5 linked regions of the Ovis aries genome follow. Each later gene encodes a partner of the first gene's protein in a complex. Links are inferred from orthologs where the notes say so. Each region holds a gene or a part of one and is shown in the gene's direction. Other genes may lie near its edges.

Region 1 (6,392 bases):
AGTACGGAGGTGCGTGCGTCCTCAGGGCTTGTGCGGACGCCCTCCAGGAAGAGCTGCAGCCAGCGCAGTGCGCGGTGTAGCCGGAGCACTGTCCGGCAGCCTGAGTCGGGGTGGCGTGAGCGCCGTTCCAGGTCCACCAGTTGGTTGCCCACTTCGTAGGCAACCATGGCCTGCAGGCTGCTGTAGTGCTCTTGTTGGGGGCCACTTCGCAGCTGGTCCATGATCTGCAGCTTTGTCACCACATCCTTGGAGATGAATGAGAAGATGGTGCCCAGACTATTCAGGAACCTGCAGGAAGAGAGCAGGCACTCTCAGCCTGGGTGTGGGCGAGACCACTCCCACCTCCTGGACCGCAAGTGAGGATGGCCGACCTGCACTGGGCCAACGGGATACAGGTGGGACGTGTGGCCGGGGAAGCCCCTCGCGCACCTGACCAGCCCCCTCCAGCCAGCGAGGTAGTATTCCAGCAGCACCTCCTCCTTCTCATTGAGACACTGCTTGAAACTGACCAGGACGACTTTCAGATTGAACTCTGACTCCAAGTCATCCATTTTCAACAGGAGCTGGAACACACAGGGGGTTGGGCTGTGGGTTGTCTCCTGGTGAGAAGGCTCCTCTTTGGGTCATTATTTTGGGGAGGGGGAGTGGAGGCAGTTGGGAAGAGACAGCTGGGATCCCATGGCTCCCCAGTGAAAACCCATGAGGACTCCCACCCCCAGGTCAGCCCCTCCTCCCCAGAAGCCACCTTGCTCTGCTTGGGCTACAGCAGGGCCCTTTGCTTTAAGCATGGCCCCCCCCCCGTAACTCAGCCTTGCCAAACCTGATACATCTCACTTGTGGAAAGCATCTGTGCTCAGGTTTTCTTGCTTGTTTATAGTCTGTGTCTCTCCAGGGTGTGTCTGTTCCTACTGACTGGAGAAGTATTTGCTGAGTCCCCACGCAGAGCCAGGCAGCCACCTGGGTGCACTGTGAGTGCAACCAAAGCCCAGCCCACTGGGGTGACATCCTAGTGGTGGGTGTGTGCGTGTGTGGTTTTTAACAAAGACAGGAAGTCCAACCCAGCAAGTAAAAGGACGAGAACCACGGAGAGACAGACCGTGGGCGGAAGCGGGGGGGTGGGGTGCGTCATGACCTTCCATGCTTGAAGCTATATCCCAAAACCCAGAACAGAGGCTGTGGGGTCAGCGTTTGCCAGAGGACAGACACCAGATGTTCCACCCCTACAGTAACTGGAGCTTGGTGAGAATGTAGGAAGAGGGCAAGGAGATGTCATGTCCCACACAGAAGGCTGGACACAGGCCCTCTCCCAGTCCCAGGGACTCCAGAAGTGCCCCAGGCCACAGAACTCCTCTAGATTCTGCTGGCATTCCCATAGGCATGCCACAAACACCCAAGTGCCCAAGGTTAGCAGGTGCTGCTGGACACCCCAGCCCCTGCCTCCCTGAGTGCCCAGGGCTGCACTGTGGTGTGGCTCTGATGGGCCCTGGGGACTAGGCTGTGTCTCATCTCATTGTCCAGGACAAGCTCTCACCCTTTGGGCACAGGGGTTCCTGGGCCCTCAATGCTGGAAGGCTTGTAAGAGCCTGCATGAGAGGAGGCCATTTGAGCTGTGGTGAGAGCCCAGCCAAGAGAGCACATGTGGGTCCCTTCCATACCATGGGCAAGTCATGCACTGACCTAAGATCTTGTCCCACAGCTTTAGGGAAAATGGGCCAGCACACCCTGCCCTGCCCATCACCCAGGTTGCTGGGAGCCTCTGATGGGGCCCAGTGGGTGCTGAGGCCCTGCAGGCCCTCTGCCTTTGCCACATGCCTGGCACTAGGTGGAGGGCCCGGTGGTGAGCTCACTCCATCTTCAGGTGTGGGGGACAGCAGTGCCTGGCCTCAGGAAGAAGACAATGGGAGGCTTCCAGCATACTCCTCCCCTCTCTCAGGGCCTCAGTGTCCTGTCCACCAGACAGATGGCCTTTGAGGCCCTCAGGGCTACCTTCCTGGTCACCAGCCATCCTATGGGCCTGGCCTTCCTGCCTGGAACCTGAGCCAGCAGTCAACGGGAGGTGCCAGCAGCCTTTCAGAGCTTGGAAACAACAGGAAGGGCAGTGGCGGCGCAGCGGGGTCGGGCAGGCTGCCAGCTCCGGGGAGGTGATGCAGGGAATCGCCAAGGCTCCCCCAAGGGCAGCCCATGGCCCCAAGGTCAGGGCTCATCCTGAAACTGACGGCAAGCTGAAGGTCCCTAGGAAAAGAGGGCTGCCCTCCGGCACCCCAGGCCCAGCGGGTGGGAGCGGGGAAATCCCGGAAATCTCGCCTGAGAAGGGGGCTCCAGGTGGCGCCAGGCTGGGACCCAGGACTCGGGTAGGGTGGGGCCCCTGTCCTGCGCGGGTCCTGCTCCAGCTAAGTCCCTAGGGAGGGGACAGGGGCTCGGGGTCCGGGCCAGCGCTGGAGCCGGGTCCTCGGCCGCCTCCTCCCACGCCTGGGGGCTCCCGCTCCGACCCCTCGGCAAGGCCCAGGCCCAGCTCGGTTGGGCTGGGATTCCCCGCGCCGCCTTGAGCCCGTCGCGCCCCACTCACCTGCGCCTCCGCTGCTCACCTGTGCCGCCACAGCAGCCACGGGGCGGGCTGCCCGGGCGTCGGCCACAGCCCTACCGCCCCGTCGCCCGGGACTGGCTGCTGGCCGCCCAATCAGAAAGCACGTTGCGCGGGCCAGCGTTTCCGTCCGGCACGCCGGAAGTTGGGGCCGTTGGGAATGCGCCTGCGCCGTGCATAGCCGCGAGTCAGGCGCGCGTGGCCGGGACCGGGTCGCGGGCCCCGGGGTCTCGTGGGACCGGGCTGATCCTGCCCGCTCGCTTGGCTTGCCCAGCAGGATGCCCGAGATCAGGGTCACGCCCCTGGGTGAGTGCTGGGCGGCGCAAGGAGCGCCCGAGGAAGGCTGGTAGGGGGCTCGGAGGTCCGGGGACCCCGGGACGCGTCTTCCTCGCCGCGCGGCCCCCCGCCCAGCACCAGTGCTTAGTGCACCTTCCTCCTGCCTCTGCGTTCGCGCACTCGCTGCCTTCCACCTGTTCCATATGTCTCGAGCCCCGCTTCCCTGCAGCCTCCGTTTACCCGTGGGCCGTTCACCCCACGTCAGTCAGACTTTCTTTTGCTTGACCGGCGCAGCGTTAAAAACAAAAACCAACGTCTCTCCCGCCCCCAGCTTGCCCTTTGCGGAAGATATAAGTGCATAGTTTAAAAACAGTACAGCAGTGCGAAGGAGGTACAGCAGGTCACTCAGAATGGGAACAGCCGGGGTCTCTGTGCACAGGTGCCAGGGGCTTTCCGGAAACCTGCCCCCCTGCCACGGCCATATATCCGCAGCGTCTTCTAGCAGGGTTGTTCCCCGCAGCTCTACATGCTCTCTTCTATGGTGCATTCTCAGAATAGCCCACCCAGCCTCCCGCTGCAGTGGTCTTCCCCTGGCCGTCCAGGGCACAGCACGCATCCCGCCCCGCCATAGGTGTCCTCACACCTCTCCTACCTGTTGACTCCGGTTCCCCTCTGGTTGCTTCAGCTCCATGCTCTCCTCACACCTGGTTCCTCTCCAGGGGCCTCTGCAGGGTTCTTCCAGCCTGTTTCCCACTGTGGCATCTTTCTCACCACTCACTTTTGCCAGCCTTTTTCCCCTATGACATCTTTCTCACCGCGCACCCTTGAACAGTCCTGTCTTTTTACTGCTTCTTTTACCCCAAATCCTCACTGGGCAGTGGGAGAGAGGGGGGCATGGCTGTCCCTCCGACTGGTCCTCCCATACAGGGGCTGGCCAGGATGTGGGCCGAAGCTGCATTTTGGTGTCCATTGCGGGCAAGAACGTCATGCTGGACTGCGGGATGCACATGGGCTTCAGCGACGATGTGAGTCTCAAGGGTGGGCGGCCTGGCATCCAGCCTGCACCTCGGCGTCATCACCGAGGGACCTGGGCCTCGGAGTCGCAGGCTTTGACTATGGAGGAGGAACGGGGGCAAGTGGGCACTGGTAGGAGGGCAGCCCCCACCGTCACCCAACAAGTGGAGCACTTGGGTCAGACTGTACTGGAGCCAGGGCACGGCTGTGGGGTCTCAGCTCTCAGGTACTGGCTCAGCAGCCTGACTTCTGCCCTACATGCTCAGGGGTTCTGAGCAGTCGGTGGCCTCAGTGGGCCTGCAGGGTGTGGGTGTCAGGCTCAACTGCATCCTGACCCAGGGGCCATCCCCACAGCCCTGGCTGCCCCACAGTCACCTGAGCCCTGGGCAGGCGGCATCCTGACACTTTTGCTTCTCCCCCCACAGAGGCGCTTCCCCGACTTTTCCTACATCACCCGCAGTGGCCGACTGACCGACTTTCTGGACTGTGTGATCATCAGGTGGGCGCCTTCCCCACCCACAGACCCAGCCACCCACCCAAGTGGCATACTGGTTCTTGTTGCCCTGAGCCCCTTCCTGTTCCTTCCTGGAATGTGAAGCTGACCCCATAGTAACTGCCTGCTGGTGGCATCGCTAGACACTTGGGCCTGAGTCCCTTTTGCCCTCTCCCTCTCCCATGTTCAGGGCCATGTCTGACACATAGCAGGCCCTCAGTGAGCAGAGGAATGGGGGTAGGGTTGCTGGGTGGAGGGTTGGGGGGCATCCAGCTGACTGGTGCTGCGCCTGCAGCCACTTCCACCTGGACCACTGCGGGGCACTCCCCTACTTCAGTGAGATGGTGGGCTACGATGGGCCCATCTACATGACCCAGCCCACCCAGGCCATCTGCCCCATCCTGCTGGAGGACTACCGCAAGATCGCCGTGGACAAGAAGGGCGAGGCCAACTTCTTCACGTCCCAGATGATCAAGGACTGCATGAAGAAAGTGGTGGCTGTCCACCTCCACCAGACGGTGCAGGTCAGCTCCCCACCCCCGCCCCCAACTCACTCTGCTGCCATCCCAGGGACCCTTGGAGGCAGAAGGTGAGCGTGGGGCCCAGCTCAGATCCAGTACTGAGCAGGGCTCCTGCCACTCCCTGGCTCTGCCTGAGTGTGTGGAAGATGCCAAAGAGGGCCAGTGTGCCATCTGAGTACACGGGAGCAGGCCGGGCAGGTCAGAGACCAGAGTGTGGGCTCATTGCAGTGGACTGACTCAGGGTGGAGGGGTAAGACTTGAGGCAGGCGAGTGACATCAAATGTAAAATTTATCACAAGGATCATGGATTTGTCTGTTTCTTCTCAAGAGTCTAGGTTTTGCTTTTTTTCATGAGTCTGACATTTGGGGTCATCTTATTTTTCAGATTGAACCCTTTGTTGAGTTGAATCATTCATTGAGTTGTATCCTCAGTAATGCTTTATCTTCGAGTCTGCCTTTCTGGCGAAAGTTCGCCCCTCCCACACCTTGAATCCTTGCCCTTCTTAGTACTTTTATCCTTTCTGCAGCGTGTTTTATTTTTGTTTTTTGGCTGCACTGTGTAGCATGTGGTATCTTAGTTTCTTGACCAAGGATCAAACCTGCTGCCCTTGCAGTGGAAGTGCAGAGTCTTAACCACTGGACCACTAGGGAAGTCCCTCTGCATCATATTTTAAATGTGACTCTTTTCCACGGCTTGGCTTTAATACAACCTGATGGCCTATCCTATAGGAGAGGTGTGCACTCCATGTGTAATAATTTGGGATTTAGGTGTATCGTTTTCTGTTTACTTCCAGTTTGTCCATCTTGTTCTATTTCCTTTATTGTCTTTTTCCGGACTGAGTTTTTAAAACTCCATTTGTCTTCTTATTTTATAAGTAATTATATGTTCTTTTGTAATTCTTTTTGTGGCAGAGATTACAAAACACATCCATGACAACTCAGCTCTAAGGTACTTGGAACTTTTGCCTCTTTCCTGGACAATGAAAGCATCTCAGAGCATCTTGAATTCACTTACCCCTCTCCTACTCACCAGCTCTTATTTCCACATAGCAGGATTTTAATTCTGTCAGCCTATGAGGCCCCAAGGCCCTCACCATTTGCTAGGTACCATCTCCATTATCCTAGCTGTGTCCCTGCTCCTTCCCATGGTCTTCACTTTGTATTTGCAATGAAGAGCATCAGTATGGATCTGCTGGTGACAAATGCTCTCAACTTTATTTATCTGCAGATGGCTTTATTTCGCCTTGATCATTAAAGACTTTCTCCCCCCAAAAAAAAAAAAATTAAAAAAATAAAGACTTTCTCCCTTAGGTTCAGAATTCTAGGGCAGCAGGTACTACCAGGACTCATGTCTTCCACCTGCTATTTGTAGGAGAATCCTCTTGGGCGGCTTGTGGGATTCTGTCCTTTCCTGCAGACTGGCAGGTGGCTGTGCTGGCTCCACCTGTTCCCTTCCTGCTCAGGTGTGAGGCCCTGGAGCTGCCCCCAGCTTCCTCCAGGCTGACTG
Region 2 (6,281 bases), on another chromosome or scaffold:
TCCGACGGCCCCAGCGCCCGCCGCGACCCCGCTTCCATGGCAACCGCACTAGCCCGCCGAGCCCCGGATGTGGCGAGCCCGGCCGACTATAGGTGTGCCCGGGGACACCCTCGCGCCGACCGGCTGCGCGCCCAGAGTGTGGGGCGGAGAGCGGGGCGGAGCTGAAACAGCGCTCTAGTTCCCAGAGCTGTCATTAATAAATATTTGGTAGGTTAACGCTGAAAGGGACAGGGAGTCCACAGCCTGCTAGCTCTGAACGCCTGGCATTGAGAAAACCATCTTCCTGATCTCGGATCTTAGGCTCAAGGGTTATGATGTAAAAAAAAAAAAAAGTCGCTGTCGTGTCTGACTCTTTGTAACCCCATGGACTATACAGTCCATGGAGTTCTCCAGGCCAGAATAATGGAGTGGATAGCCTTTCCTTTCTCCAGGCGATCTTCCCAACCCAGGGATCAAACCCAGGTCTCTGGCACTGCAGGAGGATTCGTTACCAGCTGAGCCACAAGGGAAGCCCAAGAATACTGGAGTGGGGAGCCTATCCAGTGATGTAGTCAGAGGACAAAAAAAAAAAAAAAAAAAAGATCTTAGGCCCAAGGGTTATAACGCAGTCACAGGACAAGAAAAAAAAAAAAAAAATGAGTTTACACTCGCTGTATTCAGTGTGTATAATGAAGATCTTTGGGCCCGTTGGGCTGCAAGGTTCATTTAAACTATTAGCAAGCATAATCTGCCCTTTCTCTTCCCACAGGCCTCCAAGGGCATTTACTCTGTTCCTCTGCCCTGCTGTATTTTTCCAGCCCCTGACCTTTATTATCTACAAGAACTCCCTTTGTCTAGAATGTAAGCTCTCTGGGGCAGGGCTGTTTCCCTCCCGACTGTACTGCTGTCCCTTGGAACAGTGTCTGGCACACAACAGGTGATTAATCAGTAGGTATTTGGCGCCGGGCGAGTGATAGCTTCTCTGTGCTTGTGTCCTCTAATATAAAGGGAAAGAAAGAGCTGCTGTGAAGAGCGCCAAAGAATTGATGCTTTTGAACTGTAGTGTTGGAGAAGACTCTTGAGAATCCCTTGGAGTGCAAGGAGATCCAACCAGTCCATCCTAAAGGAAATCAGTTCTGGGTGTTCACTGGAGGGACTGATACACCTGATGCGAAGAACTGACTCCTTGGAAAAGAGCCTGATGCTGGGAAAGATTGAAGGCGGGAGGAGAAGGGGACGACAGAGGAGTTGTTTGGATGGCATCACCGACTCCATGGACATGAGTTTGAGTAAGCTCCGGGAGTTGGTGATGGACAGGGCGGCCTGGCGTGCTGCAGTCCATGGGGTCGCAAAGAGTCGGACACGACTAAGCGGCGGAACTGAACTGAACCGAACCGAAAGTGCTTAGAGCAGCTGCGGGTTCCAAAGTGCGCGCTGTGTGACACGGAGGGAGTCCGCACACCGGGCAGGTGGTGTGGTAGGATGATGACGCTGGTGGGCAGGGACAGTAAATGCATTCTGAACCTAGTCAGGATGAAATCCCTCTGTAAGTAGAGGAAGTCGTGCCTGCTGCGCGCCTGACATCTTGCTTTGCTGGCCAGCTCAGACACGCGGGCCTTTGGTCGGCGAGGCCACGCCCCTTCCGCCGAAAGCCACGCCTTCCAGGCGCAAAGCCTGCTGGGTTCCGGTGCACACTCCTCTGAGCGCCCTGGTCGGGTGACGGGCCCAGGCAACGGGCTTGGCGGCGGCTTGTCCCGCTCCTCCTTAGCCCGTTCCCTGAGCCTGGGCCTTTGGGGCTCTCAGAGTGGCCTCCAGGGGCGTCCTCCCCGTCCTCGCCTCCTCCAGTCCCGGCGGGTCGCGCGGCCCGGGGCGGGGCCTGCGGCGGCTGAGGGAAGCGAAGCGGGTGAGGCGCGCACCCGGGGAGGGGTGGCGGTCGCTGTGGAGGGCCCGGCGGGGTCGAGGTTAGGGGCCAGGGCCTCCCGGGCCGTAGAACCGCCTGGGGCCCGCGTGCGCGCCCCTGGACTGGGCCCCAGCACCACCGCAGCCGCCGGCCTGGCGTCCTCCTTGGGGTCCACGGGGAGGGCGCCTTCCTCAAGAACGTAGCTTGGCCAGGGATGGACAGATGGACGTCCCAGCTTGCTCTTGACCCTGGCAGACAGAGTCACTGGCCACCCCATACCCCGGCGAGAGCCCTTCCTGCCCACAGGACCGATGGGCTCCCGGGCCTCTCCCAGGCCAGGCCCGCAGGTGCTCTTGCAGTCCCTGGAGGAAACAACAGTGGGCAGGGCGCCTTCCCCTCCGCACACTGCTGGCTGCAGGGTTTTCACACTGACTCTGGGAGGGACAGACACGGAGACAGACACCTCCCAGCTGGACTGAGACCCTTACAGCTCTGACTGACTAAGCCGATCAGCCTCCTACACGTGGCTGGCCCCAGAGAGGCATGCGCCCCTAGCTCGACAGGCCTGCAGCCTAGATCAGTTTCACGCTCTTTCCTCCCACCAGAATCCAGAGTTGGCTGCCTTTGAGCTCCTGAGGCTGCATGGTTTACCCCAGACTCCCATCTCCACCGCCAGACTCGAGGGCTCCAGTTTGCTCTTGACAACCTCCAATCTTACCCCAGCCAAGGCTTCACCGCAGTCCTGGCGGCTTGGAGTTTCCCTCTGAAGAGTCATCACCTGGCCTGAGGTGAAAGTCCTGGGGCCTGGTGGGGCTGGGGGCTGCCTGTGACTAGGCGGATGGGGTCTGGCCCTGCCTGACATCTCCTCTGCAGGAACCCCAGCCCCATCATGGACCCAGAGTGCGCCCGGCTCCTCCCGGCTCTCTGTGCTGTCCTGGCAGACCCCAGGCAGCCGGTGGCAGATGACACTTGTTTGGAGAAGCTGCTGGACTGGTTTAAGGCAGTCACTGGAGCAGGTACGGTGGGGGCAGCTGCCGACTCTGCCCAGAGGCCGGAGGGTGCAGGGCTCCCGTGTGCTAGGAAGAGGCCGTCTGTCTGGGGTCGTTCTTCTACATCTTAGAGAGTCCCCCTGGCTTGTCATATTTCCTCGCGCACAGATTATGGTTAGGGTTAGGGTGTGTAGGCTTTCCTGGTGGCTCAGTAAAGTCCCCTGCCAACGCAGGAGACTCGGGTTCAATCCCTGGGTCAGAAAGATCCCCTGGAGAAGGAAATGACAGCCCACTCCAGGATTCTTGCCTGGAGAAGCCCATGGACGGAGGAGCCTGGCGGGCTACAGTCCACGGGGTCACAAAGTCAGAAACGACTTAGTGACTCAACAACAACAGGTGTGCGTACACGCACACACACGCACATACATGCACACACGCGTGCACACACGCACACACACACACACACTCTTTGAGAGTGTTTTCCATTATAGTTTATTACAAAATGTTGAGTATAATTCCCTGTGCTTTACAGTAGACCCTTGTTTATTTTAAATGTAGTAGTTTGTATCTGCTCATCTCAAACTCCTAATTTATCCCCCCACCTTCCCCTTTGGGAACCATAAGTTTGTTTTCTTTGTCTATGAATCTGTTTCTCTTTTTCAGATAAGTTAATGTGCATCATTTTTTAAGATGCCACATGTAAGTGGTATCAGACGATACTTGTCTGACTTACTTCACTTAGGACAATAGTCTCTAGGTCCATCCACGTGGCTGCCAATGGCCTTGTTTCACTCCGTATATGACTGAGTCGTAGTCCGCTGTGTGTGTGCAACGGAACCACACCTTCTTCATCCATGCGCCTGTTGGTGGACGTTTGCGTTGCTTCCATGTCTTGGCTGTTGTGAGCAGCGCTGCTCTGGTGTGTAGACACTTCCGGTGCCATGTCTGGAGAAGAATGCCTGTTCCCTGCGTGTCTTGCTGTAGTGCTCTCCGTTTAAGAGAAAATTACCCACTGGAGAGGCGAAGATTTTCTGCTGCTCTTATTTGTGTCTTCTTTTCATAATCAGCAGGACAGAACGTCTTTTCGGGTCTGCTGGCCATTTGTATTTCCTGTCCAAGTCCCTTGCCTGTTGTCGAGGTGTTGTTGAATTAGAGTAATGAGTCCTTTGAAGCAGTTGTTGCAAATACTTCTCCCGGTTGGACTACTGAGTCTAACAGCCTGAGAGAGGGGGTCTGGGAGTTGCCAGAAGGACGGTCCCTTTTGGAGGCACGCACGGCGCCCTGGTGACGTGCGTCCCGGCTGGGCCTGTCCCCAGGCTCCAGTCTCCTATTACTGCAGGAACACCCCTGCCTGGTAGAGCTGCTGTTCCATGTGCTGAAACCCCAGGATCTGAGTTCCAGAATCCTGTCCTTCACACTCCGCCTCGCAGGGATCTTTGCAGCCCAGGAGAACTGCTTCCAGTTCCTCCAGGTGAGCCTGGGCCTCCCACCTGCGTGACCCACCTTCCCCTGCAGGTGCCTAGCAGCGGTGGCTGTTGTGGCCCCCGAGCCTCTGAAACTCGCTTTGCCCCCGTACCTTGACGTGTTCCACAGGGTTTTTATTCCTGGGTATAGTCCTCCTTTGAAGAATTCACCAGGAACGGATTGGGGTGGAGGGTGAACTTTTTGGAATCAGACAGAGCTGGGGTTGGGCCTCTGCCCCTTCGTGGGTGTCCCTCAGTTCAGCAGTGCAAGCTCCTAAGGCCCCGCCCACCCCAGCTAATGGTGGGGCAGACTTTCCAGGGTGTTCCACACTGAAGCCTGTTATAGGAAATGACTTCATGTCTGATCATCCTTCCGTACATACCTCAGCGTTTCCAGAGTCACGTTCGGGTTATCCTGAGAGCCCTGGCCAGTTCGCAGGTCAGGAGCCATCACCTCTGTCTCCGGGTGAGGAGACAGCGAAGGCTCAGTAGAGGAACGCCACAGGACCGGCAGGGCTCACAGCGGACCCTGCAAAGTCGGGCTGCTGGCGTGGTCGGTCACACCATCTGCCTCCCTGAAACAGATCCTCAGTCCCGATCACGTGGGTTTTCCCAGCTCCTCTGACTTCTGGGTGCTCCCTGGTTCCCGTCTCTTCTTCTCCATCTCCTCTTTCTCCTTCCGGCAGCCAACCGTGGCTGTGGAGGCTTAGCAGGCCGCGGGCTGCCCTTCTGTCTGGTGGCTGGCCCCTGCATACGGGGACAAGGGACACGGCAGGTTTGAGCCCTGCGTCGCAGAGGCAGCTTGCCTTGGGCCCTGGGCCCCTGGCACTGGCCTGGGCTCCTGTTCCCTTTTTGGCTTCCCTTTCACAGAACCCCAGGGCTGCTTGTCAGTGAGATGCTCAGCATGGGCCCCATCTGGGCAGGGGGCATGCAGACAGACGACATGAGGCTGGCGGCTGAGCCTCGGTGCCCTCCCGCTGGCTGCAGGCTGCCCCCAGGAGGGCTGTAACTTTGGGGGGGCATTTAGATGAAGGGTGATCCCACAGAGGGCCTCCCTGTGGGCTGCCGCCAGCAGCGGTGCCCCGTAAGGCCGTCGTGGGGTCAGACTCACCCTCCAGTGATTGAAAGAGCGTCTTTTCGGCCCAGGGATCCCGCACCCGGAGTCTGAGGTGACTAGAGGCACCCTGTCCCTCGAGGGTGGGGCCCGCATTTTATTGTCAACATAGACAAGGCTCTGAGCAAGTCACAGCCCCAGGGAGGGGCTCTGGGGGAAAGAGGCAGCCCCCGAGTTCCCACTCACTGTACTGGGCCCTGTGGGGAACAGGAGCCTCCGGCACGTGGCACGAGTCAGGGCGGTGCGCTGCTGTGCCGCAGGTGGACACCCGTGCACAGATGGGCACTGAGTGGGGAGTCGGGCACTGCCTGCTGCGGGCGGGGCGCAGCGGGCTCGCAGCTGGGTCCGAAGGGCTTTAAGCAGGTGTATGTGCAGGGCAGGCCTGACACATGGGGTGTGCTGGGGGGTCTGGGGCGGGGGACATCTGGAGGAGGGCACGAACTCCACGTGCCAAGCGCAGAGCCCAGGGGGCTGTGGAGACCTGCGGGTGTCTCGGGCACAGGGCGTCACGGTCAGGGGGGACGTTTGGCGTTTTGGCCGGCGTCTGCGGTGGGAGGGGCTTCTGGAGCGGACTGTGACAGGGTCGGAGCCTGAGTCTGACACCCAGCCCTTCCCAAGCTCTCTCCCTGGGAGGCAGAGCCGGACTCACTCGGCTCATTCCTCCTTCACTTCCAGCAGGGGGAGCTGCTGCCCGGGCTGTTCGGGGAGCCGGGCCCCCTCGGGACAGCGGCCTGGGCGGCCCCCTCCGTGCGCAGCGGCTGGATCCAAGGCCTGCACTCTCTGGCGCAGCACCCCAGTGCCTTGCGCTTCCTTGCAGACTCGGGTGAGTGCCCCGC
Region 3 (6,287 bases), on another chromosome or scaffold:
AAGATTTTTAAAGCTTCAGGGTAAATAAAAACGGTAATCACTCTAAACCATCATTCAACTTTACATAGTATAGTATTTGTAATGCCAACTGCATTCTCCCCTTCACTCACCCAATGTTTCCTCTCGCTTCCATACCAGCTTTCAGCCAAATGCGAGACAGAACAGGGTGGGGTAGAAGAAAAATACAAGCTGCGCCTTTTAGCGAGTCCCCACGCACCCCCCTCAACAATTTCCAACAGTTTTTCCTACTACGAAAATAAGTCACCCAACCACAGGATACACAACAGTCATTCCGTGTCTTCAGCAGACACACAGGGTCGCGTACAGAAGTGGGCACTCCCGACCCCCACCCCTCCGCCCCCGAATCTTAAGTAATGTTTCATCTATGGAAGGTGAAGACGACCAAGGAGACCTACTGTTTCGGGGTGAGGATGGGTGGAGGACTCCTTTCCAAGTAGCCCCAATAGTGTAACCAAAACACGGTTCCGGAATAAAATATTAAGAACACTCTTCCTTTCCCACCTAGCTACCGACTTAAGGATGCAAAAAGCCATCTCCACCGCACCTCATCTCTCCGAGGCGCCTGCCCTGAGTTTGCGGTGGAGCTGGTCCCGGGAGACGGGGAGGAGTGTGAGCCGCCGATGGGACACAAACGAGTTGCTCCCCGAGGCCACCCCGCGCCGCTCCGCTAGCCCAGAGGTCCCGGAGCCGCACCTCGCGCACGCCTCTCCGCCCAGGCCCAGCTAACAGCTCCGACTCCGGCTCTCGAACTTCCTCTCCTGAGACATTTATTCAAGGCTAACCCATCGCCCGAGTGCACGTCACCCAGTTTCAAACACAGCTCTGCACCCCAAACAAACCCACGCACCTCAAATTCCCCTCACAGTTTCCCAAACTCCAAACTGGAGACCCCACCTCCAGGATTCAAACCTTCCGCCCACTGGGGAGGCAACCAGGAGAAAAGAGTTGGGAGCACCCGACGCCTTTCAATTACTGCCCCCACAAACTGCCCCACCCCAGACCCTGCGTTCGGGTCACCCCCGCGAAACCCCACGCTTCCTCCTACCTCTCAGTTGGGCCGCTTAAGACACTCATCCCCAGTCCACTCACTTACTCCCCCCAACACCGCCCCCCCCCAAAAAAAAAGTGAAGAGAAAGAAGTGAGGAAAGAGACTGGAGAGACTTGAGGCTTCCAAACCACTCGACTCACCTCAGAATGCTTGCTGAGTTCTCTCCGCCCGGCACAGCCCCCTCCCCAACGTCCCGGTACGAAGGGCTGAGGTCTGAGGTAGGGAGGAGGGGAAAGCGGGAGGGGGAGGGGTGTCTTCCGCGTGGGGCGCCCGTCGGGAGGGGTCTGGGGAGGGGTTGAGGCCGGCGCAGGAAGAGGAGAAGGGGGAGGGGAGGCCCCTATCTCCCAGTCTCCCCCTGAAAAACCTCCCTTGTCTCAATCACATCAGACTGACTGTCTTTGTCTGGCTGACAACCGCCATATTGATATCAACAGCCCCGCTCCCACCTGCTGCCACCGGGCGGCCCTGGGAGTTGTAGTTTTTGTCTCCCTTGAGTAAAGGTGCGGGACTCTGCGTCCCGAGGCCCCAAGGAACTACAGCTCCCGGCAAGTACCGCGCCAGTGCGCCTTCCCACAGGGAGGAGGGGAAAGGGGCGCCAGAGCCGTAGGGACTACACATCCCAGCATACCATGGATTCTGGGCCCAGATGAGGGACATGATATCATGCTGGGGTGAAGAGGCAGGATGAATTGGCGGCGCGGATGAATTTGAGCTGACGGAAGGAGGCGTTCTAAGAGGAGAGGAAAAGGAAAGATGACCACGGTTCCCATGATGCACGGAGAGATGACTACATTTCCCATGATGCACCGGGAAGGAGCGAAGGGGGAAAAAAGACTGCATGTCCCGCGATGCTCTCGGCGGGCCCGTCGTGGAGATTGAACCGGAAGACGCTTTCTGGGTTTGAGAAGTCGAGGAACTGCTCCTTACCAGCCAAAAGTCCAGCATGAAACTGGTGAGTCTCTGCTCTTAGATCGGAGGGCATATCCTTTTGGAATTCGTCGTTTCCACCTTGGGAAGGGAACCGTCGCGGACGAGGGGTGGCAGGAAACTAGAAGGTGGAGTGGACCAAGGAAAGCTGATGTTTGTTGTTGAGTTTGAATTCCAACGCAGACCCTTCACAACTGCTAGATGCAATTCATCCCTTGGCGCGGCCCTTTTGGTTAGATAAGAGATTGAATCTTGTCACCTTTCTTCACAAACGAACCAAGGTTGGACTTTATGAACCAGGTTTGATTTGTTTCCCGCCTGCCACGTGAGTGTTATAATTGGTACACTTCTTTCCACGGGATTGATACTTGAAGCGTTCCTTTTTACAGTTGTTGAGAAGGTTTGGTAACATGAACAGAGTTTAGAAAATTCTAGGCCGATCTTAATCTCTTATTTAATTCTCTGTTATAGACCCCTAACTTCCCTTGATCACTCAAAGGAGGTCGAAGTCAGAGTGTGATCTTGGATGGTTTGAGTCTTAAATTCTGTATAAGATGGGCTGAGAGGAAGTGTTAACTGGCGTTACAGTCTAGAGCTGTAGGGACTGCGTGAGCTAAGGTTATATGGAGCATGCCAGGATACCTGGAAAAGTTCTGCATCACAAAACTTGAGACGCTTGGCTTATAGGAAAGCTGTTCAGGCTTTTGTTTTGAGCCATTTAATTCTCAGTGTGCACAGATTTAACTAACTTACTCCAACTAATTAATTGGAATTAGTAATAGCATAATTTGAGTAGAGAAGGTGTGAGATGCTGTTTCTCAGGCTTTAAAAGTCATGTTCCTGCAGCCAGGTATTGTCAGGCTTTACTTTCTGAAGTTTCTGAGGAAAAACAAAAGGTTTCTCTTAATTATTTGAGCATGCTTTTGAAAAGTACGTGTGTATGTACCCACACACGGTACAGGCATATATATTCTGCACAGTGTCAGCTGTTCTTTGAGATGGCAGAGAACATAAGAAAGGTGGATTCAATTCCAAAACTGTCTCTATCTAAAGCTGTTTCTATTAGAAGGACGCACAGATCAGTAGACCTTGAGAGTGTCAATTTGCTTTGGAGTCAGTTTTCCAAACATTTCAAAATGCAGAATTGAAAATCACCACCCTTGTCCTAAAGAAGCATGCAATCTAATGAAGAAGATACAAAGTAATGAAAAAGTTATAATTCACCTCCATCTGGGTGAAAGGAGTCATCATGTTTAGGGTTTGCTGATTGAGAGGATACTGGGGGTATGTGGGGGAGTCAGATACAGCTCCTTTGGAAAGGTAGTTCTTGAACTGATAAGAAGGTCAAGTGCGCTGGGGCCTTCCTTGAAGAGGGTTCAGCTGAGAGAAGCCAAAGAGCTTGGCACCTGAATGGTTGAAACACAGACCAGGTGTCGTCAATAAAAGATAAATCATGGTTGATGTGTGTGGTGCGAAGGCAGGCAAGTGGGAAGCAGGTTTTTTCCTATAACAACTCATTTGCTGATTGTATCAGAGCCAGGGTTTAATGTACATATACTTTGGTTTGCTTATAAAATTCTCCTGCTTACTTTATTTAGAGATGTGAAAACGTGGAAAAAGTAGGAACATTTTTTTCCTTTAAGAACCATAAAATGCCTCAGAGGAAGAGGGATTGTTCTATCTATACTCCTTCCCTCTTTATTGTTCATCCACCTAATAACTAAAACTCATTTGGTACTTGATGATTTATAATACAGGAGTATCTTTCAGAAACACTGACAGCAAGTTAGACTTCTTTTTTGTCCTGCCTCCCATACAGTTGGGCTTTCCAGGTAGTGCTAGTAATGAAGAATCCACCTGCCAGTGCGGGCAACTCGAGATGCGGGTTCGGTGCCTAGGTCAGGAAGATCCCCTGGGAATAGGAGATGGCAACCCACTCCAGTATTCTTGCCTGGAAAATTCCATGGGCAGAGGAGCCTGGTGGGCTACAGTCCATGAGATTGCAAAGATCTGGACATGACTGAGAGTGACTAACACTTTCATTTTTTCTTTGTAATATCAGGCAACTTTTTTTGAGGAAAATTCATCTTCAATTAATCAGGACAATTTTGAAAAGAACAGGAAAATTAGAAACATATCCTCTAGCACATTTTAGAGCCTATTCTCCTTTTAGTATCGATTGAACCTGATTGGGTATACCCTGATGGCCAAATTCAGCAAAGCATAGAAAATTGAACTCACCGGGGTCTTTAACAAAAGACTTTGGGAGCCCCCCCCCCCCCGCAAAAAAAAAAACCAAATTCATTGACAGAAATCAAGTTTGAAACATCATGGCCAGGAATTTAGTCATTCAAATAGATGAACGTTAAAGTGAATAAAATAACTAGCGGTTCAAAAATAAATCATTTGTCACACTTCCTGTAGATAGTTCCAGAGCTGGAGAGAATCCTCTAGTTTATTCAGTCAATAAGGATGTATTATACAAACACAGTATACCCGTGGCATTCAAAGTTTTAATACTTTGCATTTTAACTATTGAATTTGACCCCAAGGATCAATGACATGGAATTATTTGTAATTTTGCTGAGACGAAAGTTTGAATGTGATTTTAAGATGACTGATAATCCTTAGTGAAACGAGCCTGATTGCCTCAGAATCCAGGACTTTCTGCAGTTCCGTTGCTCTCTTGTTAAAGATCTGAAAGAAAGGTCACTTAAACGCTCGTTCTATGCTATACTCTGAATTTGATGGAGAAAATTATATGCTGTAGTTGTATTTATGAATTTAAAACCTCAATAAGGCCGTGAGTTACTTTCTTCAGCGGTCTGGGCTCCTTTTTTACAAAATGCTGTTTCATTATTACTGGCTTTGGGCGGGGATGGACAGGTGCAAACTTGTAACTCTCCAGTTTTCTTAAGAAAGCAGATGGAGCAAAGAAATGGATTCATTCAGCTGAGGACAGGTAAAGCACCAAGTGGAATTGTAGATTTGAAAGAAAATACTGGCTTGAAAGGGGCAAATCCTGCCTCAAGGTCAATTTAAAAAACACATCCCTTTAAGCATATCCCTTTGGGAAGGGATGTGCTTAATCCTTACCTTGGATCTGAGAACAGTGGATTCTTCCTGCAGTTTTAAGACTTGCAAAATCCTTTTGGCTTCTCAAACTTTGGATCAGGAACAGAAGATGGCTTGCTGTAAATAACAAACATAATTTTACCAGGACTTAATTCACCTGTTTCAGTACAATTATTAAAATGTCAACCTGGTTTCACTAGCTCTGTGTTTCTCTTTGCTAGTTGATTAGAGCGCCCTCGTGTGTCCCTATGGTGTAATGTCATTTCTAGCTTTCAAAAGGCTCTTTCTATCACCACCTCAGTATGATAGGGTTTTTTTCTCTTTAGAATGTTTTCCTCGAGGTCTGAAAACTGACATAAGGCCAGACCACTGTTCAGCTGTGCTCTGGGATTAAACTGGGTATTTTACTCTCGGGCATTTCTAAGTCCTGATGGTGACTCTGAAGATTAAACCTTTTATGCTTAAGGCAAAAAATATATATATACACCAAGGTGAGTATGGAGAAGGCAATAGCAAGCCACTCCAGTACTCTTGCCTGGAGAATCCCATGGACGGAGGAGCCTGGTAGGCTGCAGTCCATGGGGTCACTACGAGTCTGACGCAACTGAGCAACTTCACTTTCACACAATGGAGAAGGAAATGGCAACCCACTCCAGTGTTCTTGCCTGGAGAATCCCAGGGACGGGGGAGCCTGGTGGGCTGCCGTCTATGGGGTTGCACAGAGTCGGCCACGACTAAAGGGACTTAGCAGCAGCAGCAAGGTGAGTAATGAATTAAAAGGAAAATTTTATATTTGTGTAATGTAATAGGGCTTCCCTGGTGGTTCAGATAGTAAAGAATCCACCTGCCAATCCAGGAGACCTGGTTCCATCCCTGGTCAGGAAGATCTCCTGGAGAAAGAAATGGCACCCCACTCCAGTGTTCTTGCCTGGAGAATCCCATGGACAGAGGAGCCTGGTGGTCTGCAGCCCATGGAGTTGCAAAGAGTTGGACACGACTGAGCACACACACAATCTGACATACAATACAAGCATGACAGCATTGCTGCTGCTTTTAACTGTAGTCACACGTTTTGTAGCTGGTTTGCTCTGGGTATTCAGATTCCTCTGCCACTTGCTGTGACAATCGGCAAAGGGTACTTGAAGGTCTAGGACCCAGAGTGCAGCATGGCCACGGAACCAGCATTCCAAATGGAAAGTTCGCTCCTGGCTTACC
Region 4 (4,853 bases), on another chromosome or scaffold:
CTGCCTGCTGTCCAAGCAGGCTGAGGTGAACAGAGCTCGAGTCTGATTTAGCCTGAGGTCAAGTGTGTCGATGTTCAGTGTGAAAAAGACGTGGACTTTCTTGCCCTGTTTACATTTGAAGACATCTGTGTTGTACCCTTCACCTGCTAGGCTTCAGTAAACAGCTTGAGGTCACGGGACATGTTTTTGAAGAAATAATGTTACTTCGTGAACTCTTCCTGTTATAAACGACAGTGCCGGTGTGTTCTTTTCTCTTCCTTTATTTGTTCTCCACAAAACTATAAAAAGCCAGAGCTGCTTGGCGGGCCTGGATGTGGCCGCTGTCATTCATTCCCTCCGGTTTGGGAAACAGTCCATGAGACAAATCATAGAGAAATGGCAGTGCCCCTGACAGCTCCAGAGTCAGGAGCACAGTGCGGGGCTATTGCGTCTCCACATCTTCCCTCGCCGACAGTGAGCTCCTTCTCTCCCCTGACCTTCTGCCTGGCCCTTCCCATGCGATGTTGCAGACCTGCCTTAACATTCTGGACTTGAGCCTCTCCCGCTTCCCGCCAGATGTCATCAGAGCTGTCAGCACCATTGATGTGCACGAGAGCGAGGAGCCTCTTTGGCCCAGGGTGGCCGTTTTCCCATCAGTGGCACCCGGCATCCTCCATGGCACGAGGCTCAGCAGCCTGAAGGTGGTGGATCTGGACTCACAGAAGACCATGTACACCTCAGGTACCACAGTCCTTTCCAGCTCCTCCCCCCCCAGCCCTGCTCAGCCACACTGGAATCCAAATTCAGCCCTGCGTGCCCGCTGCTGTGGAAGTGAGGTGAATGAGAGGCGAGGCCTGGCCTCAGGGGCTCCTGTTTTGGGTGTGGGGAGGTGGTCCTGAGAGCAGCACCCAGCCAGCTGAGTGCACCTGCAAGATGGGGGGCACCAGGGACGTGACTCACTCAGCCTGGGGCTGCTGGGGAGCTTCGCCAAGGAAAGGACTGGCCACCCGTTGGCTGGGCCCACCAGCCCCATCTGATTGCAGCAGCTTTTCTCACTCGCCCCGTTCTCCAGGTGTCAGTGACGATGATGTGCTAAGTAGCCTGCAGGTCCTGGACACGGACACCTTCGCCTTCTGCTGCTCCTCAGGCCGCCTGGGGCTGGTTGACACCCGCCAGAAGTGGGCCCCGTCAGAGAACCTCGGCCCCGGCCCTGGGTCCGCTGGAAGGCGGTGGTGTGCAGAAGCTGGGGGCCGGGGCCCTGGGCCCAGCATTGCCCGCCTCGGCTCAGACGGGCAGCTCTGTCTTCTCGACCCCCGGGATCTCTGCCAGCCCGTGAGCTCAGTCCAGTGCCCCGTGTCCATGCCCAGCCCTGAGCCAGAGCTGCTGCGAGTGACTTGGGCCCCCAGCCTGGACAACTGCTTGGCCATTTCAGGTACTGCTGAGAGGACTTTGTCACTTCGTCTCTCTCCCAGGGGACTCTTAGGTGCTCGGGAGGGAGCCCACAGCCCCATAATAAATGTGGCCCCAGAAGGTACAGTTGTCACAGAAAAGCTCCTAGTTCTCCAGGTTCGTGAGGGATGGCCCTTCCTCATCCTGGCTACCAAACTTCATATGTGGGTAGCGGGCCTTTCCTGTCCCAGCAGGAATTCGGTTCTGAGGTTGGTCCGGAAGCCTGCAGGTGGGACAGCACCAGAACAGCCATGGGGTGAACCAGGGAGAGGTGACAGGATCTCGGGTGCCTCTCAGGCTACTCACTTTTAGAATCACAGCAAGCCAGGGAGGGCAGCAGACTCCTGGGTCTGACCTGGCAGCATCTAGCTGAATAAGGGTGTGCCATGAGATATCTTAAAGCCCACGGAAGAATCCTCTGAGTGGGGAGAGGCTGCCAATAGTTGAGAGAGCAGGAGAGGCTCATTGATAACAACCGGCTCCAGAAAGGGCAGGAGAGATGAGCCGGGCTGGAGGAATTCTCTCTAGGTGTCTCTGGGGTGTTTCTCTCTCTCTAGGCGTCTCTGTTTCCCCCATCAGGTAGGAGACAAGGCCATGTGCTGGGAGGGACCCACATGTGGAGAGAGTAGAATTGGGGGTTAGCAGAAAAGGTTTGAAAAGTCTCTTCACCCTCAGTTTCTTGGGGAAAATAATAGTACCTATTTCATGGGAACTTCCCTGGTAGTCCAGTGGCTAAGATTCCTTGCTCCCAATGTGGGCCTGGCTTCGATCCCTGGTCAAGGAACTGCATCCCACATGCTACAACTAAATACATAAACTTAAAAAAAAAAATACTACCTACTTCATATAGTCCTGAGGGGTAAAAGAGAGAATGCAGGGTTAGCCCCGGGCCTGGCCCATGATGGACAGGCCACACATGCTCATGAGCACGTGCTCTGCGACACCATCAGCTGCTGTCGACGTGGCTAACCACGTGTCACGTGCCCTTCGGGTGGTCTTTAAGTACCTCGTTACTGTCTGATTCCTCACCCTCCAGCCTGTTTGGTTCCACGGAGCAAATTATAAAAACAGTTTCAGAGATACAGCGTCAACACTCTCTTCTCGTTTTTCCTCAGGGTTCGACGGGACGGTCCAGGTCTATGATGTCACGTCTTGGGCTGGAGTGGGGCGCCAAGTGGAACCTCTCTTCACTCACAGAGGTCACATCTTCCTAGACGACAGTGGGATGGACCCTGCCCCGCTGGTCACCACCCACACCTGGCACCCCTACAAACCAAGGACTGTGTTATCGGCAGCCAGTGACGCCTCTCTGCATGTGTGGGACTGGGTGGACCCCTGTGCCTCTCGCTGACACCAGCATCTTTCAGCCCAGGCCCTGGGAAGCTGCTGCGGAGCAAGGAGACAGATTCAGGCGACCGCAGACGGCCCTGCTACCAGCTGAGTGGCTGAGAGCAAGTTAACCAGCCTGTCAGCCCACCCCAGTTTCTTTATTTGTAAAATGAGGCTGGTAATAACTACCTGGCAGGGCTGTTGGGAAAGTCAGAAGTAATACATTTTAAGATAACTGCTAGGATGCATGGCACAATAAATATTTGGTAACTGCTCTTAGCTCTGGGAGCCCCATTTCTCCCGAGTGCAGAATGGCAGTGTTTTGCCCTGTCCGTATTCACAGTATGGAGAGTCTGAAGAGCTAATAACCGTAAACAAGTTTTGTGAATTCGTTTACAGAACTGAAATGTATTGTGGTGTTGTGTTAGTTGCTCAGTGGTGTCTATGTCTTTGTGACCCCATGGACTGCAGCCTCCAGGCTCCTCTATCCATGGAATTCTCCAGACAAGATACTGGAGTGGGTAGCCATGCCCTCCTCCAGGGCATCTTCCCTGATGCAGGGATTTAACCCGGGTTGCCTGCATTGCAGGCAGATTCTTTACTGTCTGAGCCACCAGGGAATAGTGGCAAATAAACATAAAAAATGTCAACCCTAGTAGCAATGAAGGAAATAGCAATTTAAAAGAAGATTAAAAAAAATAATACAAGGGAACAAAATAACAGGAAACTTTGTATTTCAGTATAAATGCCATTCTTCCACCTAATGCGGTCATCAGACCCCTGCCTGTATGTTCAGTTCAGTCGCTCAGCTGTGTCCGACTCTTTGCAACCCCACAGACTGCAGCATGCCAGGCTTCCTTGTCCCTCACCAACTCCCCAAACTACTCATACTCATGTCCCTCAAGTCTGGATGTATGTGGTAAAATCAAGAACTGGGCAGCCAAGATTACAGACCCAGACGGGTGCTGCGTTTGTGACTCACCCTCGAAAGTCAAGGACCTGGTTTTTCTGAATTGATGAAGAAACCCTTGAGGAAAGTTCTCCACAAAAGAATGTACTGTTTTCTCAAGTTTTATGCAGTAGTTGAATTTCTGGGACATTCAGGTATATTGATGCTAACCTTTCCATGATGCAAAACTTTCCTTGTGTGTGTGTATAGAAAGTTAGGTTCTCAGCACACGTAATTGTAAAAAGGCTTTCCCCTACATCAGAGATTCTCAAATCTTAACATGCATCAGAATCACCTGGTTAAGACAGACTGCTGGGCTCTGTTCCCAGAGTTTCTGATCAGTAGGAGTGTTAGCCAGGCTTCCCAGGTGGTGCTAGTGGTAAAGAACCTGCCTGGCAATGCAGGAGACACAGGTTCGATCCCTGGGTCAGGAAGCTCCCCTGGAGGAGGTCATGGCAACCCACTCCAGTGTTCTTGCCTGGAGAACACCATGGACAGAGGAGCCTGTTGGGCTACAGTCCATGGGGTCACAAAGAATCAGACACGACTGAGCGACTTAGCCCTCACACTCAGGAGTGTTAGCCAGGGTGTAGTCAGAGAAGCAGACCAGTAGGAGTTACTTCCACAGTACTTGTGGGAGCTGGGCCCACGGTCTCTGTAAGGCTGCTGTCTTTCCATTTATCTGCTGCTGGAGCCTGGGGCCCACAGGGCAGACAAGAAGGGGAGGGCAAGGACCAGCTGGAACCTATCAGTTCTCGTTGTGGTCACCTGGAGAAGCGGGTACACTCTAGCACTGAGCTAACACACCCCTGGCCCAGGGTTGGGAGAAGCTTAAGAGGATCTTGGGAAGATGGAGTCGCCAGCCATGTGTGTGAGTCACACCGCTGCACCTGTCCCATCTCCTGAGCGTGGAACCAGGATACCTGCGGCTTCCCTTCTACCCACCACGTCTCGCTCAGAAAAATCTTCAGTGGCCTACTCTACCTGGAAACACAGGGGTGAACTCTGGGGCATGTGGTTCTGCCCAGACAAGTCACCACATTAAAAAGTCAACTTGGGCTTCCATGGTGGTCCAGTGGTTAAGAATCCTTCTTGTAATGACACTGATTCAATCCCTGGTGCAGGAGGATTCCACATGCCACAAGGC
Region 5 (5,835 bases), on another chromosome or scaffold:
CTGCTGAGGGTTGAACTTGATTTCCTAAGGTGCTTATAAGCTCAAACTGGGTGCATTTAGACTAATTTGCTGCATTGCTTTGATTACACACAGCACAAAATTTTTTCAAAAGTTTACGATAGAATGGAGTCTCATGGAAAGAACTGTGGGCTGGACACCTGGAGACTATTTTCTTATTGTAACTTTGTCATTGACCTGCTGCAAAACCTTGGACAGGCTACTCTCCCTTCTGAATCTTGTCTCCTCACCTTCTAAATTAAGATGACAATTCTTAATCTACTACTTAATTCTGAGGACTAGTCTTTCTGGAAATTAAACAGTTTTATATTTTTTTACCAGTAATTTAAAATCACTCTTTTTGTTATATGAACAGTTCATTTTATTCCCCCAGAAGAGGTACAATGACAACTGTTACTGCCTTCCCTTCCCACACGGGCTGGTTTGTGGGGTAGTGCAAAAATGATCTATTCATACTTCACCCTACAGCGTCTGAGTAGAAACTTGATAATTTGAGAAAATAACAGAAGCTACGTAAGTATTTTTCCTTAATTCGTAAAGGATAAAATGAGAGAATACGAACGCAATGACATTGCATTTCCACAGTCTGTAAGGCGCTCTGAAAACTTCAAAAAGAGACTCAGTCTGCAGAGCCTAAAATGTGGGCGAGAATGGGTCTCGGTGGTGTTGCCTCAGTTGTTGAAGATGATTCAGAAGTATGGTTGTTACTGGAGATGGTGTTCAACACCAGCAAACTTGGTTTGTTTTGGAAATAGATGAATGCCTTCTGGAATTTTCTTTCATTGTATTTTTGAATACATGTGTAATTATTTATTGCCGCTATTAGTGGTTTTCCCCAATGAAGGGTGTTAGGTGGGTATAGATGACTATCAAGTTTTCACAAAGAGGAAACGGTGCTATTGAATGTCAGAGCAGCCCTTTTGGAGGTCCAGTGGGCCTGTCACAATTGAGGGAGCTTCCAGCCAGGAAGCTGTTCCCAGGATCTGCCTCCCTGAACATCTCTCACTCCATATCCTTGCTGTTGGAATGTTCTGCACTGTTTGCCACAGTGCAAGTCTACAGGAAGATAGAGTTCCTTATTCTAATCTCTTTTGGTGAAGGGACCCTAGATATGGGGAAATAAATGCTGTGGGACAGCATTGTTCTGCAGGGGCCAAGGCTCAGGGAAGGCAAAACAGCATATTACAGCTCAGAAGAGCTTGAAAGGTTTCAAGGGATATATTGACTTGTCCCTGGTCATACAGCAGCTCACTGCATGAACCAGGCATACAATTTGGGCTGTCCTGAGCCTGAAAAATTATGATTCACTCAGGTTTACCTTTGAGAGGCTGCTACCTAGTCATAATTTAAAATCTCCGTTTTAATTTTCTACTCAGCAGTTACTCATGTCAGATGTTTTCTCATCATTTGTTGACTTTATCTCCAGTTAGAATGTGGGCTGCTTGAGAACAGGGAACTTGCTCATCACCTTTACCTCTGTGTTCCCAGAACCTCTATATCTCATGTCCCTAGTGCCTGACATGTAGTACATGCTCAACAAATAATGAAAATGGAATGTAGGGTTTCAAGTTTGCAATAAAAATTCATTTAATTCTTAGATAACTCTGTGGTGGGAGTTAGTATTCTGCTCTTCATTTTACAGATGCATAAGTGGAGGCCCGTGTAGCCGATTAATGGTGGCTTGGGGGCCGGCATGCAGATTTCTTAAGTGCCTTGTTTTTTCACTATACCATCCTCCCATCTGGCCTGGGATACTAAAGTGAAATGTGTTCTCATTCTGAATGCACCAGCACTTTCTTCCTCCTAACCCAGGAGACGAGGCCTGGTGTTGGGAAGGGACTACTTCTTGTCCCTCAGCTCCCTACCTAGGGCCTGGCTTTTGGGAGACAGGATGCTGCCAGGCCTGGAGTCACATAGACAGGTTTCCAAATTCTGCCTTACTTACTGTGATCCTGAGAAAGTTATTTAACCTGTCTGTCTCATTTTCCTTTAAGACTGTAGAGTGGTAATATATACCTCATAAAGACATACTCTTCTAAGCATGATAAACAGGTTGCATGATTGGCCCCAGACGATCTTTTGTTTCTTTTCCCCACTGTCTTCTCCCTCTTGTTTTTTTCTCTCTGCTCCCTTCCTCTGATGGCAGAGGCTTGAATTGCCCCCTTCACATGTGCTGGTGAGGGAAGGCTTAATGACCAGGTAGGGTTCAGTTGTCTGACCTTACCAGGGTTTGGCTCCTGAAAGTGCTGTGAGAGCCAGGGCTGGGTTGTGGTTCAAGGGTTGGCGGTAGCCATCTAGGACACAAGAGAAGAGCCTGTTGGGAGAGCTGATACTGGAGCCTCGGACCAGAGAGCAGTGCTGGTTTCATTACAGAGACACTGAAGGCTGGTGAAAGGGCCTATGGTAAATGGTCCTGCTGAAGCTGCTGTCTGGGCTTGGCTGGGTTGCTCTGGCCGGCTGCCAGCCCTCCCTTCCTGGAAGACAGTGATCTTGTCTCTATTTTGATCCCTAGGGAGAAGTCTGGAAATAACAAGGAACATGTCTGGGGAGGCATTGAGAAGTCCTGGGACCTCTGCCCTTGTTCATTTTCTGTTCCATCAGCCCTCGTTGCTGCCCTTTAAACACCTTACCCTTGGGCTCAGCTTTAAAACTTGCATCTTTCATGAAGTAAGGAGGTTACCCAGTCACACAGAATCGAGGAAGACACCCAAACTAGCTGTGTTCTTGTCCTCTGCACCTGGCGTTAGGTCTTTCTGAAACCCTCTCCCTCTTCTTTATTGAAGCCACATGGTTAATAGAAAGATTAGTGTTTCAGTTTATGAACTGAGCTCAAATTCTGTCACTAGTGTGGATTTGGGCAGTCACTTAGAAACTCTCAGTACCTTGGGACTCTTTTGGGATCATGACGATCTTTCTTTCATGATGCGGCAGGGTAAGAACTCTTGGAGTTATGTGTTTGGCACCAAGCAGGTGTTCCATTCCAGAGCTTTCCTGGGTACCTTCGTCAGTGCTTTTTACAGACTCGCGTGTGAACTGTGCTCTACACAACTGTCTCTGCCTCCTCAGCCAAACAGCAACTTAAGGGAGGTCTTATTTATTTTTGCTGGGCCTGCCAGGTGCAGACACCAGATCAGTATTGTAATGTCTGTCATGAAAGAATGGAAGGTTCAGTGACATGATTTTATGTCCCTGAAATGTGTTCCTGTTCATAATGAGTGTTTTCTGTCCAAACTATTTCCAGATGAACAGCTTCTTCTCCGCTAATGCAGCAGAGTCCACTCTGCACATAGCCCTCAGGTCTGAGATCGGCTGTCCAGAAAGAGCATGGTTATCTGGGCACAAGAACTGGCCACATGCACACACCTTGTGACCCTCTGTCTTGGAGGCTGGAAGGCCTCTGTACAAGAGGGTTTTTTGCTTGCTCTCTGAGCATCTCAGCAGCCATGGATCTGAGCTGCAGGGAGCCCAACAGACCCGAGGAGGTGGCAGTGGCAGAGAGATAGCAGCACGTCTGTAGCTTAGGAAGAACCTCACGGTATTCAGGCTGGAAAATTGTGTTTGTTTTGCAGATGGGGGAAGGGAGGGATGCAGACAGGTGAAAAATGTTCCTGAAACCCCTGCTGCCTCCATCTTTGATCTTGCTTTTACTTGACATTTCATCCCAATTCCTGGGCGTTGCCCTGTCATTGATGATTTTTGTCTTTTTTTCTAGAACCCTGCCAGGTGGAAGTGAGGCTGCTGCTGGCCTACAACTCCAGTTCACGCATTCCAAAATCCCCCTGGATTGAAGGTGGTGAGATGTCACCCCAGGTGGAAACCGGCATCGAGGGCACCATCCCCTTCAGCAAGTCTGTAAAAGTTTACATAATGCCCAAGCCTGCAAGGCGCTGAATCACAAGCAGCCTTTACAGCCGTGGCCTAGAAGGCCCTTCTTGGGATCAGAGTGAGCCAGAAGCCAGAACATTTCACCTGGAAATGGTATATAGGCATAAGGAGGAACATGTGGCCCTTGCAGTCTCATCTGTATCAAGCATTGGATAAATTATTTTGCATTAATTAAGAAAACAAACCTTCAAGTCTATCCTGCCCCCGACCCCCAACCTCCATAGCCCTGCCCCCAATAAAATTGAGACACCAAGCTGCTCTAGTCCCTGGTCCTTCAGGGAATCTGTGTGGCTGTAGGTTCAACATTTATGCTACATGTCTACATTCTTCAGGTGTGAAACAAAAAGATCAATTTTCTAGCTACTTCTAAAGAACCAGTTATCGGAGCCATAATCTTATTTCATAAAGCAGCAGTCTGTTTGTCAGAGCCAACCCCAAAGCAGCTTTCACAGCTTTGCTTTTTCACCATCGACAGTTCCTGAATGGCCCCAGACTTCATTGTCTTGCTGAGAGTCTCCTTCCTTAACTCAGGCAATGGCTGGCCAAGAACTGAATGGACAGCTGAAGAATGAATCATTTTCATTCTTCAGGAAAATTTTTCATCTTGCCTGCCATTATCCTTAGGACCAAAATATGAGAGATGGGCCATATTTTAGAAAAGAAACCAGCATTATGGGAAAGAGGGATCTAGTATAAGAAACAGAGTCATTTTCCAGTGATGACTTCTCTGATGACTCCAATGTTGGAGCTGCATGTGAGTTAAAGATGCAGCTGTGGTGTAAGAACAGTAAAGGCTGTGAACCATGTGAGGGCCTGTGCTGGGTTCTTCACCTGTCATTTATTCCTTGTAACAGCCAAGTGAGTCTGACAGGTTAGGTCATTGGTAGGAATACTGTAATAACACCTGTATTCATTCAGATCCAAAAGGAGTCCAAAGGTCTGAGCTATACCACATCAGGAGAAGTATATGGAAAAGAACCTACAAATCTCTCTTGTGCCTTAATTTTCTTATCTGTAAAATAGAGATAATTATACTTTATGGGTTGTTGAATGGGTTTAATTAAATAATGCTTGGCAAAATCTTAATCTCTGGTCAGTCTTGATCATATTTGGTGCTTGGAAAGCTAATAAAAATAACAAGAGCATGCAGTTCCTCAGAGGCAGAGCTGGAATTTGAATTCAAGCACGTTTGACTTCTGGTTTAACACACCTAATGTGTGCCCAGCAGTGTTGCAAACCCTTTAATGAATTAATTCATTTAGTCCTCAAAACTATAGTGTGAAGTAGGTGCTATTATAATAAACCTAATAGTAGGTTTTAATTAAAGCAGTTGAAGTTCAGAGAATTTAAAGAAGCCAGGATTATGGGAAAGAGGGAGCCACTATAAGAAATAGCACTTTCAGCTCCATCTCTGATGGCTGCAGTGTTGGAACTGCCTCCTTGGCCTAGGTCGCACAGCTGGTAAACTGTGAGCTGGAATTAGAACCTGGGTGGTCTGGCTCCTGGAGGTCATGACTGCTATGGAGAGACTAAAAGAAGATCACCTCCGTGGCGTTTACTTTTCTTGTGTGCTCACTTACTTAGTACATCTCAGTGATGTGCCATCAGTGTCAGCAGGAGGCCCTAAAGGAAATTGCCTGCCTTGGAGATAAAGTAAAGCTGAAAGCCAGACTGAGTCATACCATGGCCTGACACAAGCACCTAATGATGATGACTGAGTTGACACAAAGATGAAACATCAAGAACCATTGCTGCTAACTGAGCCTTCCAAGGGAAAAGTATGGTGAATCCTTTTTAGATACACTACTCCTTTTATAAAAATCTTTCTCAGTTATTCCCTATTTTATAGGTGGGAAAACTGAGAGTTTGAGGTCATGTCTTTCTCCTGAGGGGCAAGGGCGAGAATTTGATCCTAGGTCTTAAGACCTGAAA

Evidence for each region.
Region 2: the proteins of INTS11 (region 1) and BRAT1 are in contact, whole or in part, in a cryo-EM structure (PDB 8UIB), measured with the Homo sapiens proteins. The link is inferred for Ovis aries from reciprocal best matches to the Homo sapiens genes INTS11 and BRAT1. Residues at the interface, in NP_060341.2 of Homo sapiens: Leu9, Val15, Gly16, Lys27, Met35, His36, Met37, Gly38, Phe39, Arg43, Asp47, Tyr50, Thr58, Asp59, Asp62, His70, Leu71, Asp72, His73, Asp87, Gly88, Gln97, Pro101, Ile102, Glu105, Arg108, Lys109, Val112, Asp113, Lys114; in NP_689956.2 of Homo sapiens: Asp25, Thr27, Cys28, Glu30, Lys31, Asp34, Pro117, Ser156, Ser157, Leu158, Phe159, Ser162, Lys358, Ser359, Cys366, Arg367, Arg424, Arg427, Thr465, Lys468, Lys469, Trp514, Glu515, Asp518, Ser519, Glu522, Tyr560, Ser564, Ser604, Glu605.
Region 3: the proteins of INTS11 (region 1) and INTS9 are in contact, whole or in part, in a cryo-EM structure (PDB 8RC4), measured with the Homo sapiens proteins. The link is inferred for Ovis aries from reciprocal best matches to the Homo sapiens genes INTS11 and INTS9. Residues at the interface, in NP_060341.2 of Homo sapiens: His94, Gln97, Ala98, His137, Leu138, His139, Gln140, Thr141, Lys274, His277, Tyr278, Lys280, Leu281, Phe282, Ile283, Pro284, Trp285, Arg291, Phe294, Ser449, Pro450, Ser451, Ile452, Pro453, Val454, Gly455, Ile456, Ser457, Leu458, Leu461; in NP_060720.2 of Homo sapiens: Glu127, Gly198, Tyr199, Ser200, Gln201, Lys202, Tyr231, Glu338, Phe339, Ile342, Phe343, Glu345, Gln352, Lys354, Val355, Tyr356, Leu357, Pro358, Glu359, Pro360, Pro361, Arg511, Arg512, Tyr513, Glu514, Lys515, Ile516, Glu517, Ile518, Met519.
Region 4: the proteins of INTS11 (region 1) and WDR73 are in contact, whole or in part, in a cryo-EM structure (PDB 8R22), measured with the Homo sapiens proteins. The link is inferred for Ovis aries from reciprocal best matches to the Homo sapiens genes INTS11 and WDR73. Residues at the interface, in NP_060341.2 of Homo sapiens: Tyr206, Thr208, Thr209, Ile210, Arg211, Asp212, Ser213, Arg215, Cys216, Arg217, Glu218, Arg219, Asp220, Leu222, Lys223, Lys224, His226, Phe255, Arg258, Met259, Leu364, Val384, Glu385, Tyr386, Ser388, Lys418, Lys419, Glu421, Phe422, Gln425; in NP_116245.2 of Homo sapiens: Asp5, Asp6, Leu8, Val9, Ser11, Leu12, Tyr15, Gln16, Phe18, Tyr19, Ala20, Phe21, Asp22, Leu23, Glu50, Leu52, Arg59, Leu68, Phe69, Pro70, Glu71, Arg72, Asp73, Phe74, Lys75, Val76, Gly79, Phe81, Asp116, Ser117.
Region 5: the proteins of INTS11 (region 1) and INTS4 are in contact, whole or in part, in a cryo-EM structure (PDB 7BFP), measured with the Homo sapiens proteins. The link is inferred for Ovis aries from reciprocal best matches to the Homo sapiens genes INTS11 and INTS4. Residues at the interface, in NP_060341.2 of Homo sapiens: Pro183, Trp191, Lys194, Asp212, Gln288, Gln400, Gln404, Lys462, Met465, Ala466, Leu469; in NP_291025.3 of Homo sapiens: Leu159, Asp161, Thr162, Arg167, Tyr203, Gln207, Asp244, Ser292, Gly294, Trp296, Arg299, Lys323, Met326, Ser327, Asp328.

What each region holds. Positions count from the first base shown.
Region 1 is NC_056065.1:50,519,310-50,525,701, forward strand, and holds the start of INTS11 (integrator complex subunit 11), read left to right. Parts: upstream 1-2,737; 5' UTR 2,738-2,859; coding exon 2,860-2,887; intron 2,888-3,784; coding exon 3,785-3,882; intron 3,883-4,296; coding exon 4,297-4,370; intron 4,371-4,659; coding exon 4,660-4,888; intron 4,889-6,392. Other genes in the region: CPTP (ceramide-1-phosphate transfer protein), read right to left, coding at 1-288, 430-563, 821-847.
Region 2 is NC_056077.1:41,040,895-41,047,175, reverse strand, and holds the start of BRAT1 (BRCA1-associated ATM activator 1), read left to right. Parts: upstream 1-1,243; 5' UTR 1,244-1,268; intron 1,269-1,668; exon of another isoform or gene 1,669-2,226; intron 2,227-2,484; 5' UTR 2,485-2,667; intron 2,668-2,752; 5' UTR 2,753-2,768; coding exon 2,769-2,895; intron 2,896-4,184; coding exon 4,185-4,339; intron 4,340-6,120; coding exon 6,121-6,268; intron 6,269-6,281. UniProt on the Homo sapiens protein: Component of a multiprotein complex required for the assembly of the RNA endonuclease module of the integrator complex.
Region 3 is NC_056055.1:103,361,481-103,367,767, reverse strand, and holds the start of INTS9 (integrator complex subunit 9), read left to right. Parts: upstream 1-1,926; 5' UTR 1,927-2,013; coding exon 2,014-2,022; intron 2,023-6,287. UniProt on the Homo sapiens protein: Component of the integrator complex, a multiprotein complex that terminates RNA polymerase II (Pol II) transcription in the promoter-proximal region of genes.
Region 4 is NC_056071.1:21,614,008-21,618,860, reverse strand, and holds the end of WDR73 (WD repeat-containing protein 73), read left to right. Parts: intron 1-555; coding exon 556-720; intron 721-1,051; coding exon 1,052-1,411; intron 1,412-2,543; coding exon 2,544-2,779; 3' UTR 2,780-3,184; downstream 3,185-4,853. UniProt on the Homo sapiens protein: Component of a multiprotein complex required for the assembly of the RNA endonuclease module of the integrator complex. Associates with INTS9 and INTS11 in the cytoplasm, stabilizing the INTS9-INTS11 heterodimer and blocking the active site of INTS11.
Region 5 is NC_056074.1:15,730,935-15,736,769, forward strand, and holds the end of INTS4 (integrator complex subunit 4), read left to right. Parts: intron 1-3,730; coding exon 3,731-3,909; 3' UTR 3,910-4,989; downstream 4,990-5,835. UniProt on the Homo sapiens protein: Component of the integrator complex, a multiprotein complex that terminates RNA polymerase II (Pol II) transcription in the promoter-proximal region of genes.